Neodiprion lecontei: one gene and its partners. The protein of the gene in region 1 purifies or fractionates together with the protein of each later gene. This does not show direct contact. Links are inferred from orthologs where the notes say so. Each region holds a gene or a part of one and is shown in the gene's direction. Other genes may lie near its edges.

Region 1 (3,149 bases):
CTGGCAAGCCTGTCCTCGATCTGTGCATCCGAATTTACATCCGAAGACAGCTTAAGTTCCTCCAAATACTCATTTATCAAATCTGCAGTCTTTTGTTCATCCGACCTCGTATCCACTGAATGGATCTTGAAGAGAAGTGGCAAATTTGGGAGCAACAAAAGTCAATGAGCTAGTTGAACTAGCATACAAATATACAATTGCAATGTATTTAATTTCAGCTCACATTAGTTTGAGGAACAGGATTATTAGGGTCTTGATCCTTGAGCAGAGCAAGCCTTCTTCTAATCTCCTCCAAGCTAGTTTGAGGCACAGGTTTGTCCTCATCTTTCAATTTCCTAAGTCGATCAACCATATTCTGATCCGCTGGATCTAGTCCAGACTTCAGGCGATCCCATCGTCCAATCTCCTTTTTGTACAAAACAATCGGTGGTTTGGACGGATTTTCAAGCGAATTTAATCTGTGCAGTTTTGGAAAGATTAATGAATGTTTATCATTGAAGATGTAGTAATTGAACAAATGACACTGAAATAAGTTATTCCATCTCTTCATCTCCACTTGCGTACTTCTGAGTAATATCTATTGGAGCAACTTGTTCGACGGACAACGGTTGTCCCTCAGACGGTGTTGAGAGTTGAGGTTTTAAATTTTCAGACTGAACCTTCTCCTCTGCCTTGTTCTCCACCCCGTCTTTCAACCGATAATAGCACTTGCCGCATATTTTTGTGCTGCCAATATCTGGCAGGTCAAATTTGTACCTGAGACACTTGGCGCAATAGGAAAAATGGCAACTTGGACAACCGTGCTGGAAGAAACATTGAAAAGTATTGATATGAATATGGCAAATTTTGTGTCAAATTTTTCTAACTTGTTGCTGTGCATGCTAATAAACAATAACAATAGAATAAGGAATTTGGGGGTAAAAAAAGAAGAGAACGAAATAACTCTAAACAAATATTGCGTAATTGTATAATCAAAGTATGAATCACTCGGTCGATATGCAAGAGTGGAATTGATAGTACGAATTTTTATAATTACCTCTCGAGTAAAGAAGGTGAATTTTGTTTGACACGCGTTGCATGACATTTCATCAATCCTCTTCGTGCCAGTTGAACGTGAGCAGAAGACTCGAAAACTTGAGTCAAATGTGAAAAACTGGTGTGCCCAGATACCGTTTAAAATTATTTCCCGTTGCCGCACCTCAATGCGCAAATTCTCATCATTTGTGATCTCTCTCGAAGATCATCGTCCATCTTGCAGCTAACGGACAACTCTGCAGCGCTTTCGAGTTTCGACGCATATCCGATTATCGATAGTATATCGACAGGATTCAAATTAAATTCAAAAAATGGAACGTTCTTACAATCCACACCGCTAATTGACTACTGAATTTCAGAGTGAATTATTATAACCCTGCGATGTATAAGTCGTGTAATAATACGGTGCTTTGTTCGATTGATTTTAATTCCTTATTTTCGCTTATTTTTCATTACTTAAAACGTTCATCGATGCAAAATACGGCAATTCAAAATTGATCGATAGTTGTGGTTATCGATATAGACCGTTGGCACATTTCTGCGAGAAGTGAACATCGATATATCGCATTTCTCGAATCACGAACCACGCGTTCAGTGCACCAAGGACTGTTTGACGTTTGATTAACCACAAAAACGCGACTAATACTGCAGAAGATTGATAAAAATAGGCAGAAAATCATCGTTCAAAGTACCAATCTAAGCAGAAATTAATTTTCAATGGACGACGAGGCTGAGACGTACAAATTGTGGAGGATAAGAAAGACCGTGATGCAATTATGCCACGACAGAGGTTATCTCGTAACGCAGGACGAGCTCGATCAGACCCTGGAACAATTCAAAGAACAGTTCGGGGACAAACCAAGTGAGAAAAGACCTGCAAGAAGTGATCTTATCGTACTTGTCGCCCACAACGACGATCCGACCGATCAGCTGTTCGTGTTCTTTCCAGACGAACCCAAGATCGGCATAAAAACAATCAAGACATACTGCCAGCGCATGCAAGAAGAAAAAATTCACAGGTAATGGGAATACGGATTGATGGAACAAAAAGCATATGTATCTTATGGCCTGCTTTGTATCATTTAATTGCATGTCATCTTCATGTCTTTCAGAGCAACTATCGTCGTTCAGCAGGGAATGACACCTTCAGCTAAACAGTCGCTAGTCGACATGGCACCAAAGTACATACTAGAACAATTTCTGGAGTCTGAATTACTGATAAACATAACTGAGCACGAACTGGTTCCCGAGCATGTTGTTATGACACCTGAAGAAAAGCAAGAATTGCTCTCAAGATACAAGCTCAAGGAGAATATGCTCATGCGCATACAAGCCGGCGACCCAGTTGCCCGTTACTTTGGCCTAAAGCGTGGACAGGTCGTCAAAATTATCAGACCATCTGAAACTGCCGGGCGATATATATCCTACAGGCTTGTCTGTTGACGGAAGAAAATCCACAATTTTATTCTATACTTCCCCTACACGATATTTTAAGTTTTATCATGTTCAAGTTAATGTTAAGAAAACAAATATTCTTATCCGAATAAAAATTTCTATGAAACGAAAATGCTTAATTTGTTTTTGTGAATTATTCTACTTTAGTTGAGAAAATTAGGATTTCATGTATTATATTTCCATGAAACATTAGGGTTTCTTTTCACTGCAGCTACATGCAAATTGGAGCGACATCATTGGCTCAAAATCAGCAACCACTCCCATCGTGCCATATCGTAAAAATTGAGCCAATAGCAGGACTCAATATCCATGTCGCTTAGTTAAAATACGGACTTTAGGTACTGAACAGCTTCATCTCAACTTAACCTCAAATACGGTTACCTAAATATTAAACTCGATAGATTTAAGAGTCGAAAAATATTGACATTTAACAAAGAGTAAATGAAACAAACATTTTACATTCGTACTGTACCCAGAATTGTGAAGAAACAATACGCAGTAGGTCAAAAACTGATTTTCAAACCGAAGTTGTCATTCAATAAACAATTCTAACCTCGAAACGCAGTTTGTTTATCTCAGAAATAAGAAAGTAATCGATCAAAGACGATGCTATTACGAGACGCATCAATTTTTCATTACAATTTTCAATCATAACTGAT
Region 2 (4,999 bases), on another chromosome or scaffold:
ATCTTGTTCCGGTACAGTCTCGCGGTAAAATCCGTTGGCCTTTTGCATTTAAACTTTTCATACAACGTTACTCTGCCCAAAAGTCCAGCGAGCTTTCAGCTCCATTGTGTCATATTAAGTTTAAGATCTTACACTGTGTAACTCCGTTTTTGTGACTTTAAATATTGAACTTATAAAATAAATCAAAGTTAATCAAAGTATCCAAATACATTAGAGTCAGTTATTCCGCTAAATCCTCTCACCAATCTACGCTGCAAGTCATCACATCCAGAATATTCTCAAAAAGGTAAGCCAATTAATTAAATCTTTTATCCAACAATTACTCCTCCTTCGGTTCGTTCGATTAGAGCGACAGAATGCCCGTTGCCCGGTGTATTTCAATAATTAATCGGTAATTGGTGACCCAAACTACTGATGTGAGTCTAGCTGTAGCTGTGTGTGAATGTTTCCGGTGTCTTACATCTGGAGATTTCCACTAGGTACCTTTCCGACGTCACACCACCGCGATATCCTAGTCCTACTAAACCATACTGAACTCTATTATGTCATTGTGAACAACCAAGGATTTTATTTTATTGTTAAGTTTGAAAAATTATTATGTTAAAAACTGGTGCGAGGTTGCTGTGTGACTAAATGTAATCAATTCTTTATACCTGGTGGTAATGTTACATTCTTTGTGCAAGTATTTCGACTTGAGGAAGTCTGTAAGTATTTTGAAAGAAACCAGTCCCTGCTTTAATTTTTCCTAATTTAATTATTACGAAATCTCTATCCAATATATCAATATCTTATGTAAAAAAAAATTGGTAAACTTTTCCCAAACATAAGATAATGCAAGAATTCGTAAAGAGATTCAAATAGAATGTGTATGTAGGTTGTGAAAATAAGAGGACAAGCTTTTTTTTGGAATGCTGTACACGGAGCGAGTGAGAGAGTGGTCTTATTTGATACCTCTCACTCGGCTGAAAGCCAGTCCTATCCCTTACCATTGCAGCGAGCCTTCCAGTTATATTAGAGTTCGGTGGTCAATGACGCTTCTATTTGCATCTCTTCTAGGTCTGGAGGGTAGAAGTAAGGAGAATCGACTTATGTGGGAGACAAGTTGAAAAAGTGTCCAGCTGTAAGCTGCAAGTAACAGTTCAAGAACCCACCAAAATAGCGCTAGCGCAGCTAAAGGATATGACATGAATTTAGCAGTTGTAATCGGAGTGAAGTGAGCTGAGTTGAACAATTCAATATTTTTGGTGACTAATGTAGTTAATGAAATCACAGTATACAAAACCTCAACTATTTACGTAGCCCAAAATAATTTAGTGAATATAACCCATAAAACTGCTGTGAGATAACGTGGAGAGTGATTTAATTTTTGTGAATTGTTGATCATACTTTTTAGTGATTTTGTAGTGTGTACTGTTATAAAATTTTTTAAAGTTTGGTCAATAATAGGTAAAGTTTGCATAGTGAAAAGTTGTCCAAGTGCACGAAAAATGAAAAATAAAAAGAATGATGCGCCTCAGTCTCTGTCTTTTTTCCGACCAATAGTATGTAAAATTTGCACATGTAGTTCTCTCAAATTTTGCACATGAACTTCTTTTATTTTTGGAAATTAGTTTATCAAAAAACAAAATTTATGTCAACGTTTCTCCATTTCAATATCATCTTCCATTTAATATTTATCGAATCATTGAGCGCTTAAAAATGTTGCTTTCTTTATTAATGTTTATTTTGAAAAATGTACCATAACAAAGCGGAAATCTTTCTTTCCTTGTTTACTTCTCTATCCAACTCAAATATCTTTTGTTGCTTTCTTCAAAATATACCCTTCTGCTACCGTAACGCCATCTTCAGTTGACATCTTTCGACGCAAGCTTTTTCGTACACAGAGACGGTTCTCCTTATCTCTACCGTCCATACACTTCTGGGGCCGGGCGGCCGGGTAATGAACGGTTGTCGTTAGTATGGCCAAAGCGTGGTCCTTGGTAGATTGTGTCCAATTTTCGGTTGTGCTTTGGTTTGCGATGTCTTTATATTAACACGTAAAATTATAACGATAGAACAGCGATAAAATGGGTGAAATGAAATCGAATGATTACAACAGTCTCAAAAGAGCTGAAAAATTCAGAAAAGTAGCCAAACATATCGAGGTAAAGTACCATCTCAAATATTTGTAGGTTATAACTTGATTTGATGTAATCCTACCTCGCCTAATAATGCAAAACTACAAATGCACTACGCATACCGGGCGGGTATAAATAAACGATTTTAATCGGGTTATTTTCAAGATTTTATTACTCAACAATCTCCGAATTCCAGGCAGAGGCAACTTACGGTCAAACACTGTTATTAATGACTCGATTATGTATATTTTGTTCTGAAATTTCAACAAATTTACCATATTTCTAGAACTTTATATTAAACATTTTCAAATATGTGCCAAAAAAATTGAAAGTTTTTATAAATCTTGAATGTATCTGCTTAGGAAAATATGGGGTGAAATTCGCACTAGTCGCAAGAAATGAAAATCCTTAACCAAGAAATCAGTTATTCATCACTTAGAACTCTAGTGCAATCCTTAAAAAGCCAGACTTTGCCTGTTACTTATTATGTCAATATAACTTGTTTGATGTTGTAGGATAAGTGGAAGCTCGTCCCTGCATTCCTCAAAGGCAAAGGCCTCGTTAAGCAACACATTGATTCGTTCAATTATTTCATTAATGTTGAGATAAAAAAAATCGTCAAGGCAAATGAGAAAGTATTAAGTGATGCTGATTCCTTGTTCTACGTCAAGTAAGTAGTATGACTTATCAAAATCGTGTATAATACAGGATGTCTAGCGACGCCGACTTCCTGGAAAACCGGGAATTTGAAAATGCCCTTGAAAATGTGAGAAATATATGGGAATTTCAAATAGCAATATGGAATTTTTTCATCAAATTGAACATGCATAAAATTTTGACTTAGGTCTAATAATGAAAGTGCTTACTCGAGTCATTTCACATGAAAATCATATATACGAAATATTATACTAGGTGTATAAATTAATTCTCGGCCCCTAGATTAAATTGATTTTACACCTATTTGAATCGAAAAATTTTTCCGTTATATAGGGCGTTTTGAGGCGCCATCTATGAGCTATCAAACCACTTAGTCCGATTGTGGTCCGATTAATCTAACCTCAAAAAACATAGTAAACAAAGATGTCGTTCGACAAGCAGCACTTGAGGCACTGCCTTCTTTTCGTCTTCCAACTTACAAGAAATCACAAGAAATGATTTGTTCGGCCTTGGGAGAGAGTGCTGTATCTTATAGCACATGTAAAACATGGTTTCAAAGTTTCGGGATGGAAATTTTGATCTCCAAGATGAAGATCATCCTGAAAAGCCATAAAAGGTTGAGGACGAGGAGTTGGAGAACCTACTCAACGAAAATCCTTACCAAACGCAAATGGAGCTTGCTCGAAAACTCGAGAGGATACAAAAGGAAGAGCGTTGGGTGCCCCATGATCTTACCCCAGCAAACAAAAGTCGACGCTGTGAAATTCCAATGAGCCTGCTGACCAGATTCAAACAAAAAGACTTTTTACATAAAATTGTGGCTGGGGATGAAAAGTGGATATTGTACGATAATCCTAAGAGACGAAAGTCGTGGGTTTATTCGGGGGAGCCGACAACGAGCACTGCAAAACCAAACATCCACGGGCCAAAATTGTTGTTGTGTAATTGGTGGGATTTCAAAGGTGTAATGTATTATGAGACAATCAAACCAGGGGAAACCATTACTGCTAAGCGTTATCAGGTGCAACTGATGAAATTGAGCGATGCTATCGAGGAAAAAAAACCCTTCAGCGGTAGTGGACCAAGGCAAGTGATTTTGCTGCAGGACAACGTGCGGCCATACACAGCAAAAGAAACCCTGAAAGTTACCTTCACGTTGGGCTGGGAAATTCTCCCTCATGCGGCGTATTCTCCAGACCTTGCACCTTCTGACTATTACCTTTTTCGGGCGCTACAACATCACCTGGTGGATACCCAGTTTCAATCTCCTGAGGAAGTCCGTCAGAGCATTGACGACTTCATCCAGTCAAAACCACCATCTTTCTTTCGAGCCGGGATCCGACAATTGCCCGATAAATGGAAAAAATGCGTGCAAAGTGACGGCGATTATTTTGAAGATTAGATCTGTATTCATTTTTTTATAAATAAATGTCAAAATTGTTGAAAAAAGGCCGAGAATTAATTTATACACCTAATATATTAACTCAATGGCAATCTACATGCAGTGTACGGAATGAACATAAATATGAGAAAAAGTATTTATGTGAAGGTATATTAGAATTTTATCAAGCGAATATTTTTGGTCAAGAAATATTATATCTTGGTACATTTCATACATTGTATGATTGTCAATCGACAACACTCGAGCGAGAATGAACATGCATAAACTCACTCGGCATACGGCACGGTGCCACATCGCAGTTTGCTTCGAGAGCATTACTTAATTTCAGTCCGGACCTATACAGTGAATCGAAGAGTATCAAACAACAGAGTGTCAACAAAAGAAATTGTATGACAAAAAAAAAGCAAAGAAACAAATCGCAAATTACAAGGTAAGTGTTGATTAGCTTTAATCATAGAATTTTGTGACTGTACATTGGCATAACAATATTTAGCCAATTTTGATTGTTCTGTCCTTTCCGAGCCGCTTCTAGGTCGCATAGGCCTCAGATTTTACTCCTCAATGCTAATACCCAAGTGCCAGCAGTTAAAAATACTGATTTGTTTGTTGTTTTTTTTTGCTAATATAAAAAAAAACACCTTTTTTACGTCTAGATTTCTGGCTATATGTATTACATGTGCCATAAATTTATATTATTATTTAATTTCAAATGCATTTCTCTCGTTGTAATTGTTATTTCATTGTAATTGTTATTTTTTTAATGCCGATAAGATGGAAATCTTTATGTGCTTAATATAAAAAAGTTGACATCAAAATTTAACAA
Region 3 (5,096 bases), on another chromosome or scaffold:
GTATGACTTTTTCACCTGTAGGCTCACGCAGCTACTACCATACTCATATGTAATTTAATTTTAGCTACAAATTCTTGAGGAATAAATCATTGGTGGCACTTCTGCCAGTAGTGTTGTAGTAATACTTAAAAGTTCTCTCTTTTTTTCAATTATATTTCATCACTACTGAAAATGCTTTCGATGATACAAGATGTTAGTTGTTACTCTAATCCAATATCACAGAACTTGTGGAATAAAGTAAAAACGTCCACATCTGCGACACGAACCACATTACATGAACAATTGAAATGAGACTTACCAAAATCTGACATGGCATGGTCTATTCTTGGAGAAGAGGCCGTATCCTGTAATCGTTCTGCGTTTCTCTTTAATCGAACCTGTACCACATCTTCACTCGGGTGAATGGATATCAGATTCAAGTCTTTCTTGCAGGTTACGTTCATTCTGTAAATATTTGTTATGGAGCAAAAATTAAAACTATGAATTTCCCACGTTAATACTGATTTAACGAAGTTTGGACTGCACTGTATATTTTTCCTTCCTTGTTAATTATACTTACATTGAATGCCTCAAATCCATTTTAAAATAAACAGCCTCATTCAGCTGGGCTGTTTCATCTAGTAATGGACATTTTTCTCGTTGATTTTCTGTGTACGAATTACTAACATCGCTGAGAGTTCGTTCCAAGCTGAATCCGAACTGAAATAGTTATAGTGTTATAAATGGCAGTTGCATTTAGTATTGTCCTGTAATAAATAGGCACGTAATACAATTTATCAGATGATCGGGCACTGAGTACAATACTCGTATTCATAATGTTACAAGCAAACATGCTTGTGCAATCACATTTGTCGGAATGCAAAGCGTATAATCTTGGAAAAACCTTACATCTCCCACATTAGATACCAAATTCATAAGATGTAAAAACATTATCAATGTTGGGAATAAATGATAAGTTTCCTGCGTTCACATCTACGTGATATTGCAACCTGATGGAACAGGTTCGATAAAAGTTGGGAAGAAGAAACGATTTACTAGTATATGTCAAAGTATAAAAAAATACTCATTTTCCTCTGAATGTTAACGACAGCTCATCTCACCATACAGTTATACGGAAAAGGTGAAGCGTCGGTGATGGAATGAATATTGCTGGGTGAATGTACGTATGTATGTGTATACGTACACCAGGTGTACGTATGCCAGGTAAATCGAGGGTTAAACGTCAAACCTACCACTGCATCCTCGGCGCCCTGTTCCACCTTAAAATTAGTCAAGTTTACGCGCAAAGTGCCTCCTTCGTAAAATCCGAATGTGCTGAGAGCGATGTAAGCTCTGACGTCGTTCTGCAATAAAGGAAATTGATTATTTTCCTTTGGAATGTTTCACCGATGAGACGGTACTACTGTACGTACAACACACGCGCGTGTCTAGTACGCGTATAAAGATTCCTGAAAAAAAATATAATTCGTCAACGCACCCTTATCTCAAGCTTGTGAATCCTCGCCTGAGTTAGCGAAGCTAAGGTGAGCACAACTATGCACGAAACAATCACGGATTTTGAATACATTTTTCAAATATTTATATTGTAACGTTACTTCACGTATCGGGGAACATTGCCACTTGACACACGAAACACCTCGCCCCGCAAGTTCGCACGGCGAGCAGAAGCAGCAGAAGCTGGTTCGGCAGGGATTTGGAAAATGGTATAAGATGCCGAATGCGGATGGAACTTCTAGTTACACTCGCTCGACATGGGTGGCGTCAGTGTGTTTGATTTGTTTATTTATTTATTTTTTTATTTTTTTGTTTATTTTGCTCCTTGAATCACGTGATCACGGCATTCTCTTATTAAATTTAAAAAAATAAACCTGATATTATCAACGGCAGCGCCTCCAGTGCAGAAATTATTTCTCCACATTTTCGGCCGTTTCTTCTATACGTTAAGATCGTTCTCCTTGTATCTAGACTCCATGACTGCACCACCACCTTTAATGCTCCGTGTGCACCACACTCATTTTTAACAACTTGTATGGTTGTCTTATACCAAGAACCGAGCTGTCAGTTTGACAGGTTAGAAGGAGCGATTCAAATTTCCTCGAGATTTCTCTGTAGCATCCAAATGTAGTATCTGTTAATAATGTATCGCAAATATTCCTGAATCAATTGTCAGGCTGTTGGTGGAATCTTATCAAACTATAATTGCATGTACAACCTTGTCATCGATAAAACCGACCCTAATCTCACCTAGCGTAACCTAAATATAATTCTTTTTCACGCTAATTCGCCCTTGTTGTCCCAGATATTACAGGTATAAATCATTGAAACATTGAAACACAACGATGACATCAACGTCGAGGAAACGTAACGATGGGAGCAGAACAAAAATGAAAATGAGGTAGGAAATTGATATTTTGCAAGTTTACTGGGTAGTAAGTAAAACATTTACGTTTCGTTTTATTTCCAGCAAGGAACAACTGCAGCTGGCTCTGACTAAGAAACGGCAGTGTGATGCGAGAGCTTTAGCAATTGTAGAACGGTTGATAGATGATGCAGTCGACCAAACTTGGCTTTTGGAAAATGTTAGACGAATGGTTGCTCAAGATTCGGCAATATTAATGAAATACCATTTTCGTTGTTAATTTGTATTGTATACACCGTTTAAACTATGAAATATTTTCTTCTACAGCTGGAGCATATCAATCGATGTCACATGGACGACGTAGTTGAAGAAAGAGCTATATTGAGACGGTGTGGTTATGCTCTGTGCGACAATCCATTGAAATTGAATATAAATCAAAAATATCACATATCGACTCGCAATAATAAGGTTTATGATGTAAGTCGCAGAAAAAATTTCTGCAGCAATAACTGTTATGGAGCAACAAATTACATTCTTGAACAAATGCTCACTAGCCCACTGTGGCTGAGAAATCCGAAAGAAAAGCCTTGCTTCCAGCTGCTACCTCCCACTGGATTAATTAAAAAAAGTACTCCAGGCGATGAAGTTTACCTGGGACGAGAAAACGTCTCTGTTGATTCATGCGAAATACAAAAAACTGATAAAGCTATTGTGTCTGACAAATTACCATCAACAGAGAGTAATAATGCGATTGAAAATACTATAAATAATGTACCTGATAATTCCATAAATAAATCAGGCACCGAAATCGTTGAAGGGGATGTAAGTGCTAAAGAAATAGCCAATCTTCACAAACCCGCAGAACCAGTTGCACGCCAAAGTAATAAATGTGATACTTTGGCGGTTGAACAAGATGTTCGATCAAGCATAAACAATATTTCCAAAGTAAATGCAAAAGAAGATAAAACGCGCAAAGTACATGGCAAACAAGATGTCAGGAAAAGTAAGGTGGATTCAAGCTGGTTTGTTGAACGTATCAAACATTATTTACAAGAGTGGCTTACTTTGGATTCCTTGGCTCTGTTGTCGGGAGATGTGTGGTTGAAGCAGCAAAAAATAGATGAAATTACGAAACATACAAAGGACAGTAAATTCCAAAAGAAATATGTTGAACTATGCCAAAAAATCGATTCATGCCAAGTAGATGAAGACACTGACGAGGAAGATAGTAAACGCGATTTAAAACCTCTACCAGATTACAGTGTGCTGAAAGAAGCAAGTGCCCAAATAGAGGTCAAGGTATAATAGGATTGGATGTACTGTCATTTGTCAGCAACAAATTGTCTTTATCCAATTCAAATTTACTAGTAGTCTATTTCTCGTAGGTACGAGCATTTTACCAAGGCCAAACTTTGATAGATGCAACAAAACCACCATCAGGTAACGCAGTTGCTAATGAGGAAGATGATTCCAGTACATTCATGCCAATGCTTGGAGAGCGTGAGCCTAGAACACTCAGGAGACGTATAATTTTGGAGAAACTTGATAAAGTGTAATGATGGTTCTGCATTGAGATTAGATATTCCAAATTAAAGCTCGCATTAACGCTTGTATAATATTTTAGGTTGCCAGAAATGGTGCGTACCTTGGCTGGAGGCGAGTTTGCTGTTGATGGATGTATCAGCACTAACGGGTGTGGAAAAACGGTGAAAGCTCTTGTAAACACCTTTTCGTTATCGGCTAGCAATGTTATCCCTAAGCCTGCGGAATGGAACCTTCTTGGCCTTATTTTTATAAGACTGTGAGTAGCAGATGAACTATTGAGTAATCGTATTTATCATTTCATATATTAAATTTGTTAGAAGACAGTGCATTTGTCTTTAAATTTATCGCAGGTTGAGCACCTCCGAGCCCAGGTTGAGGTTTCTATTGGGTACAGACCGAGCGTCAAAGTATATAACTATGATTCTAATGTCTTATAATTTGGAGCCTAGTGACTTGGACACGCTGGTAGCGGTGGCAACAGACATCCAGTTAGTTAGCAATAAGAATTTTCCAAAAAAATAACGATAATTCGATTTCTCCTGACGCTGACAGATCTTCAGAGATATAAAATGTATGATTCTGGTTTCTGTGATACCACGCAAGCGTGCATGCGAAATAAAATAATAAAAGTGAATTTTTGTCACGTGTTTCACAATACGTAACCCGTATTTCACGGAAATTCGCAACACCTTAAGTAAAAAGAGAAGAGAAGTGGCATGCTGTGAAAGTGAGGACAAGGAGAAGCTAGTTTGGTGATGAAGATGACTGTGAAAGAGATAATGAAACCTCGTTCGATGCGGGACATCCCTCCCAGCTGTAACGTTTTCACTTTACCAAGGAATGGCTACAAGCTTCTATAGTACCCATGGTATAACTCTATGGCCCATGGAGAGCGTAATCATAAATGTAAAGTCTCTCCAGCTGTTTAGCAACAGTTATTCCACTCAGTTTACATATACGGAGTTTTTTTTTTTTTTTTTTTTTAGAGAGAGAGAACCATCTAATGCAAAGACTTGTTCCTGGTTGGTTAATGAGAGTAGTCGCTACTAGTCGGTACAAAGTAGAGTTTGAGAGAAGGGAGAGAGCTCAGAGTCCTTACATCCAATGTAAAAGCCTCTTCCGATGATGCCCCTGATACGAGATAGGTTCTTGTTTGCAACTGATTTTCGGTTGAAAACGAGTGTCTGCAATC
Region 4 (3,048 bases), on another chromosome or scaffold:
CATGGCCAAAACAAACGACTGCGTTGTTTGGTAGTCGTTGCTTGTTTTATTTTTTCATACTCACGATCGAAAATAAGTTAAGCCGTTAGAATCAACGCAGTGCAGTGATCTAATCTTACGAGCTGAAATTGGTTTTCAATAGTATAATATCATTTCATTCGTTTCGTGCTCCGTGTAATCGGTTCGTGACTATATTCAGTGTCAACTTTTTTTTCACAAATTTATTCGTGCGACTGTTCGAATTTGCTGTTACGTTTTTCGCAATCTAACGTGTAAGTGATAGTAAACCAGACTTGTTGAAGCGTTCGAAACAATTGCAATCAAGCCTCTGACACGTTATAAACAGTGAAATAGTGAAAGTGAAAAAACTGCGAGAATTAACTGTGGATTCGAATCTCTGGAAAACCTGGTATGGTCGTAAATGTGGAGTTGAGCAATGAGGGCTGACATGGTGTAGGCGATTGGCAATGGGTAAGTCTCGCACTTGTTTATGGATGTATGTACGTATGTATGTACGTACGTATGTATGTATGTGTGTATGCATGCATGTATGTATATATGTACATCTCTCAAGTAGAATCGCGTCAGGTCATTCTGTAGTAGGTGTATGAATTTACACGTTATTTTTGAACCACGGATGAAGCTTATTCATTTGAACCACAGTGTATTTAATTCACATCTGCGATTTGAAAGCCAATGCAAATTCGGTACTTGACTACGCGAATCTTGGTATTCAATCAGTAAGTATAATCATCTTTGTTCAAGGTTTGACCTGAAATAAAAACCTGAAGAACACGATAAATATGATTACTCGAGTAGAGCATAGGCGACTTGTATTTGAGTAATCGCTGGTCAAAAACCAAGTCCACTAATTTAAGGGGGGACTGTGGTAAAATTTTGATAATATGGTGTTTTAGATTTTTAAAACAGCTCAAAAAAATGTGATCGAAAATTCCACCTAACAAAATTTAGATTACGGTAGCATGTGTGCAGAAAAAATTTTTTAATCTCCTGCGATGAAAGTCTATGTGCAAGGAACTTTTGGCAGAAAATTTCCAGCGTAACACTCCCAAAAGTTCCTTGCGCATACACTTTCATCGCAGGTGATTAAAAATTTTTCTCTGGACACATACTACCATAATCTAAATTCTGCTGGAAGGAATTTTCGATCACCTTTTGTTTATCTGTTTCAAAAATCAAAAACTTGATATTATCAAAATTTCACCGTATTCTCCCCTTAACAGAGACAAAACATGCACATTTGAAGTTGATAGCCGTTGACTGTATGCCAACTATAATTTTACGAATGTCCGACAGGTTGTCTAATTCGTAAATAACATGCATACAAGTTGTCTGTAAATTGTCTGTCACGATAAAAAATTATTCGAGAGAAACTTATTTGAAAGTTCACTATTTCTAAGATTTTTTTAATCCCATCAATGTATATTTTGCCATAATAAGTTTTTACTTGATCTCTTGGACATTTGAATGGTTGATATGGCTTTGACGAATTAGGCTTACTGATAGGCCATTCTAATATTGCATGACGTTATTTTTGAGGATCCAGCCTCCATTCGAGCGTTACGTATTATTGGAGGACCCCTCAAACATTTTCGTACATGATACTGTCAAGAATCCGTGAAATATAAGTTTGAACAATGATGGCATTGTTTCGAGTGATTTATTTCACAGCTACACAAATAACCATTCTCAATTATTATGTACACAAATCGCGCCCTTTGTGCGTCGTTTTTCACGTATTCTGACAGCGCACATATCCATGAAAATTGTTTTTCATCTTGATAGCCAATATTTTATGTTACCTAATAACTTTCGAATTTAACCGCGCCTTTTGCGCGTGGACTTGATTCCTGACGGTCTTGAAGACGAGTTAAGTCGATCACCTCGTGGATTTCCCCCACGTCCATTATACACACGGCGCCGTCGCATCGTCGCATCACTCAAAGAATTTTCGTTCTGTCGTTTATCACGTGTCTGTTAGTAATCCAGTAATAACATGCAAAAAAAGTGAATAATTTCGCGTGTGGTATACAATTTAAATAGGTAAGTTTAAACATAATTCATTGTTACATCATTTTGCCTTTGTGGACAAATAATTCATCGAATTTCTACAGTCCTAACCTCCCTGTATGCGAACTTCTTATTTCCTAAATTCCCATTTTTCAGATGTGATATGCTGTTATTTTGTCCAACCTGTGGAAATATTTTACATGTCGAATCGGGAGTGGCGAATTACCGATTTGCGTGCAATACCTGCCCTTACATTTTTAATATATCGCAAAGAATAACAAGTCGGACTTATCCAAAGCTCAAGGAAGTAGACGACGTTTTAGGTGGCAGCGCTGCGTGGGAAAACGTCGATGCGACAGATGAACGCTGCCCTAAATGCTCGCATTCTCGGGCCTACTTCATGCAGATACAGACAAGATCTGCCGACGAGCCAATGACCACATTTTACAGATGCTGCAATCCACAGTGTAGTCACAATTGGCGAGATTAATTGTACGTCTTTAATTTCATTGGTTTTTGGAGGCGATAAATATTGAGCAATCACTTCTACAATTCAAATCTGTGTACATCATTATTTTAATGAGAATTTGAGTACAGAACATTTTAATGGTTATTTTACCAGAGATTCTTATACAACTATTCACGTAGAGATAAGACTGAAAATTTTCAGGACTCGTCGATCAATTTACTGTCATAATCAAGAAGAATGTTGAAATTATTTCGCAGCAGACCAACGATGAGTTCTGATGAAGTAAGGAAAAAAACCATGGGTCCAGTGAAACAAACATTGAGGTCGCTCGAGACGCAGCTAAAAAATCTACACCCCGGTATTTCAGGTATCGGGTTTGCTTATGGATCAAAGAATGTGGCTATGGCCGTTCGCTTGCTTCAAGATAAACACGTCATAGCGTTGCCCACGGATACCGTCTATGGCTTGGCAGGATTGGCTCAAAGTAATGAATCTGTTAAAAAGTTGTATGAAATTAAGCAACGAGATCCTTGTAAACCGCTGGCAAT

The links.
Region 2: the proteins of DNA-directed RNA polymerases I, II, and III subunit RPABC1 (region 1) and DNA-directed RNA polymerase III subunit RPC2 purify together in Homo sapiens (affinity purification with mass spectrometry; 7 studies listed by BioGRID and IntAct, counting the BioPlex papers as one, with this or other methods). This does not show direct contact. The link is inferred for Neodiprion lecontei from reciprocal best matches to the Homo sapiens genes POLR2E and POLR3B.
Region 3: the proteins of DNA-directed RNA polymerases I, II, and III subunit RPABC1 (region 1) and putative RNA polymerase II subunit B1 CTD phosphatase RPAP2 purify together in Homo sapiens (affinity purification with mass spectrometry; 4 studies listed by BioGRID and IntAct, counting the BioPlex papers as one, with this or other methods). This does not show direct contact. The link is inferred for Neodiprion lecontei from reciprocal best matches to the Homo sapiens genes POLR2E and RPAP2.
Region 4: the proteins of DNA-directed RNA polymerases I, II, and III subunit RPABC1 (region 1) and DNA-directed RNA polymerase III subunit RPC10 purify together in Homo sapiens (affinity purification with mass spectrometry; 5 studies listed by BioGRID and IntAct, counting the BioPlex papers as one, with this or other methods). This does not show direct contact. The link is inferred for Neodiprion lecontei from reciprocal best matches to the Homo sapiens genes POLR2E and POLR3K.

Annotation. Positions count from the first base shown.
Region 1 is NC_060266.1:3,237,303-3,240,451, forward strand, and holds DNA-directed RNA polymerases I, II, and III subunit RPABC1, read left to right. Parts: upstream 1-1,594; 5' UTR 1,595-1,752; coding exon 1,753-2,054; intron 2,055-2,147; coding exon 2,148-2,478; 3' UTR 2,479-2,602; downstream 2,603-3,149. Other genes in the region: abscission/NoCut checkpoint regulator, read right to left, coding at 1-125, 224-458, 565-803, 1,037-1,084. UniProt on the Homo sapiens protein: DNA-dependent RNA polymerase catalyzes the transcription of DNA into RNA using the four ribonucleoside triphosphates as substrates.
Region 2 is NC_060260.1:21,914,511-21,919,509, forward strand, and holds the start of DNA-directed RNA polymerase III subunit RPC2, read left to right. Parts: upstream 1-1,968; 5' UTR 1,969-2,066; coding exon 2,067-2,144; intron 2,145-2,632; coding exon 2,633-2,787; intron 2,788-4,999. UniProt on the Homo sapiens protein: Catalytic core component of RNA polymerase III (Pol III), a DNA-dependent RNA polymerase which synthesizes small non-coding RNAs using the four ribonucleoside triphosphates as substrates.
Region 3 is NC_060261.1:547,157-552,252, reverse strand, and holds putative RNA polymerase II subunit B1 CTD phosphatase RPAP2, read left to right. Parts: upstream 1-1,929; 5' UTR 1,930-2,070; exon of another isoform or gene 2,071-2,299; 5' UTR 2,300-2,339; coding exon 2,340-2,395; intron 2,396-2,464; coding exon 2,465-2,591; intron 2,592-2,686; coding exon 2,687-3,658; intron 3,659-3,744; coding exon 3,745-3,911; intron 3,912-3,983; coding exon 3,984-4,160; intron 4,161-4,254; coding exon 4,255-4,426; 3' UTR 4,427-4,538; downstream 4,539-5,096. Other genes in the region: protein GPR107, read right to left, coding at 299-444, 560-699, 1,233-1,343, 1,478-1,567.
Region 4 is NC_060260.1:9,405,891-9,408,938, reverse strand, and holds DNA-directed RNA polymerase III subunit RPC10, read left to right. Parts: upstream 1-1,917; 5' UTR 1,918-2,064; intron 2,065-2,187; 5' UTR 2,188-2,194; coding exon 2,195-2,521; downstream 2,522-3,048. Other genes in the region: yrdC domain-containing protein, mitochondrial, read left to right, coding at 2,768-3,048. UniProt on the Homo sapiens protein: Core component of RNA polymerase III (Pol III) which synthesizes small non-coding RNAs using the four ribonucleoside triphosphates as substrates. Can mediate Pol I proofreading of the nascent RNA transcript.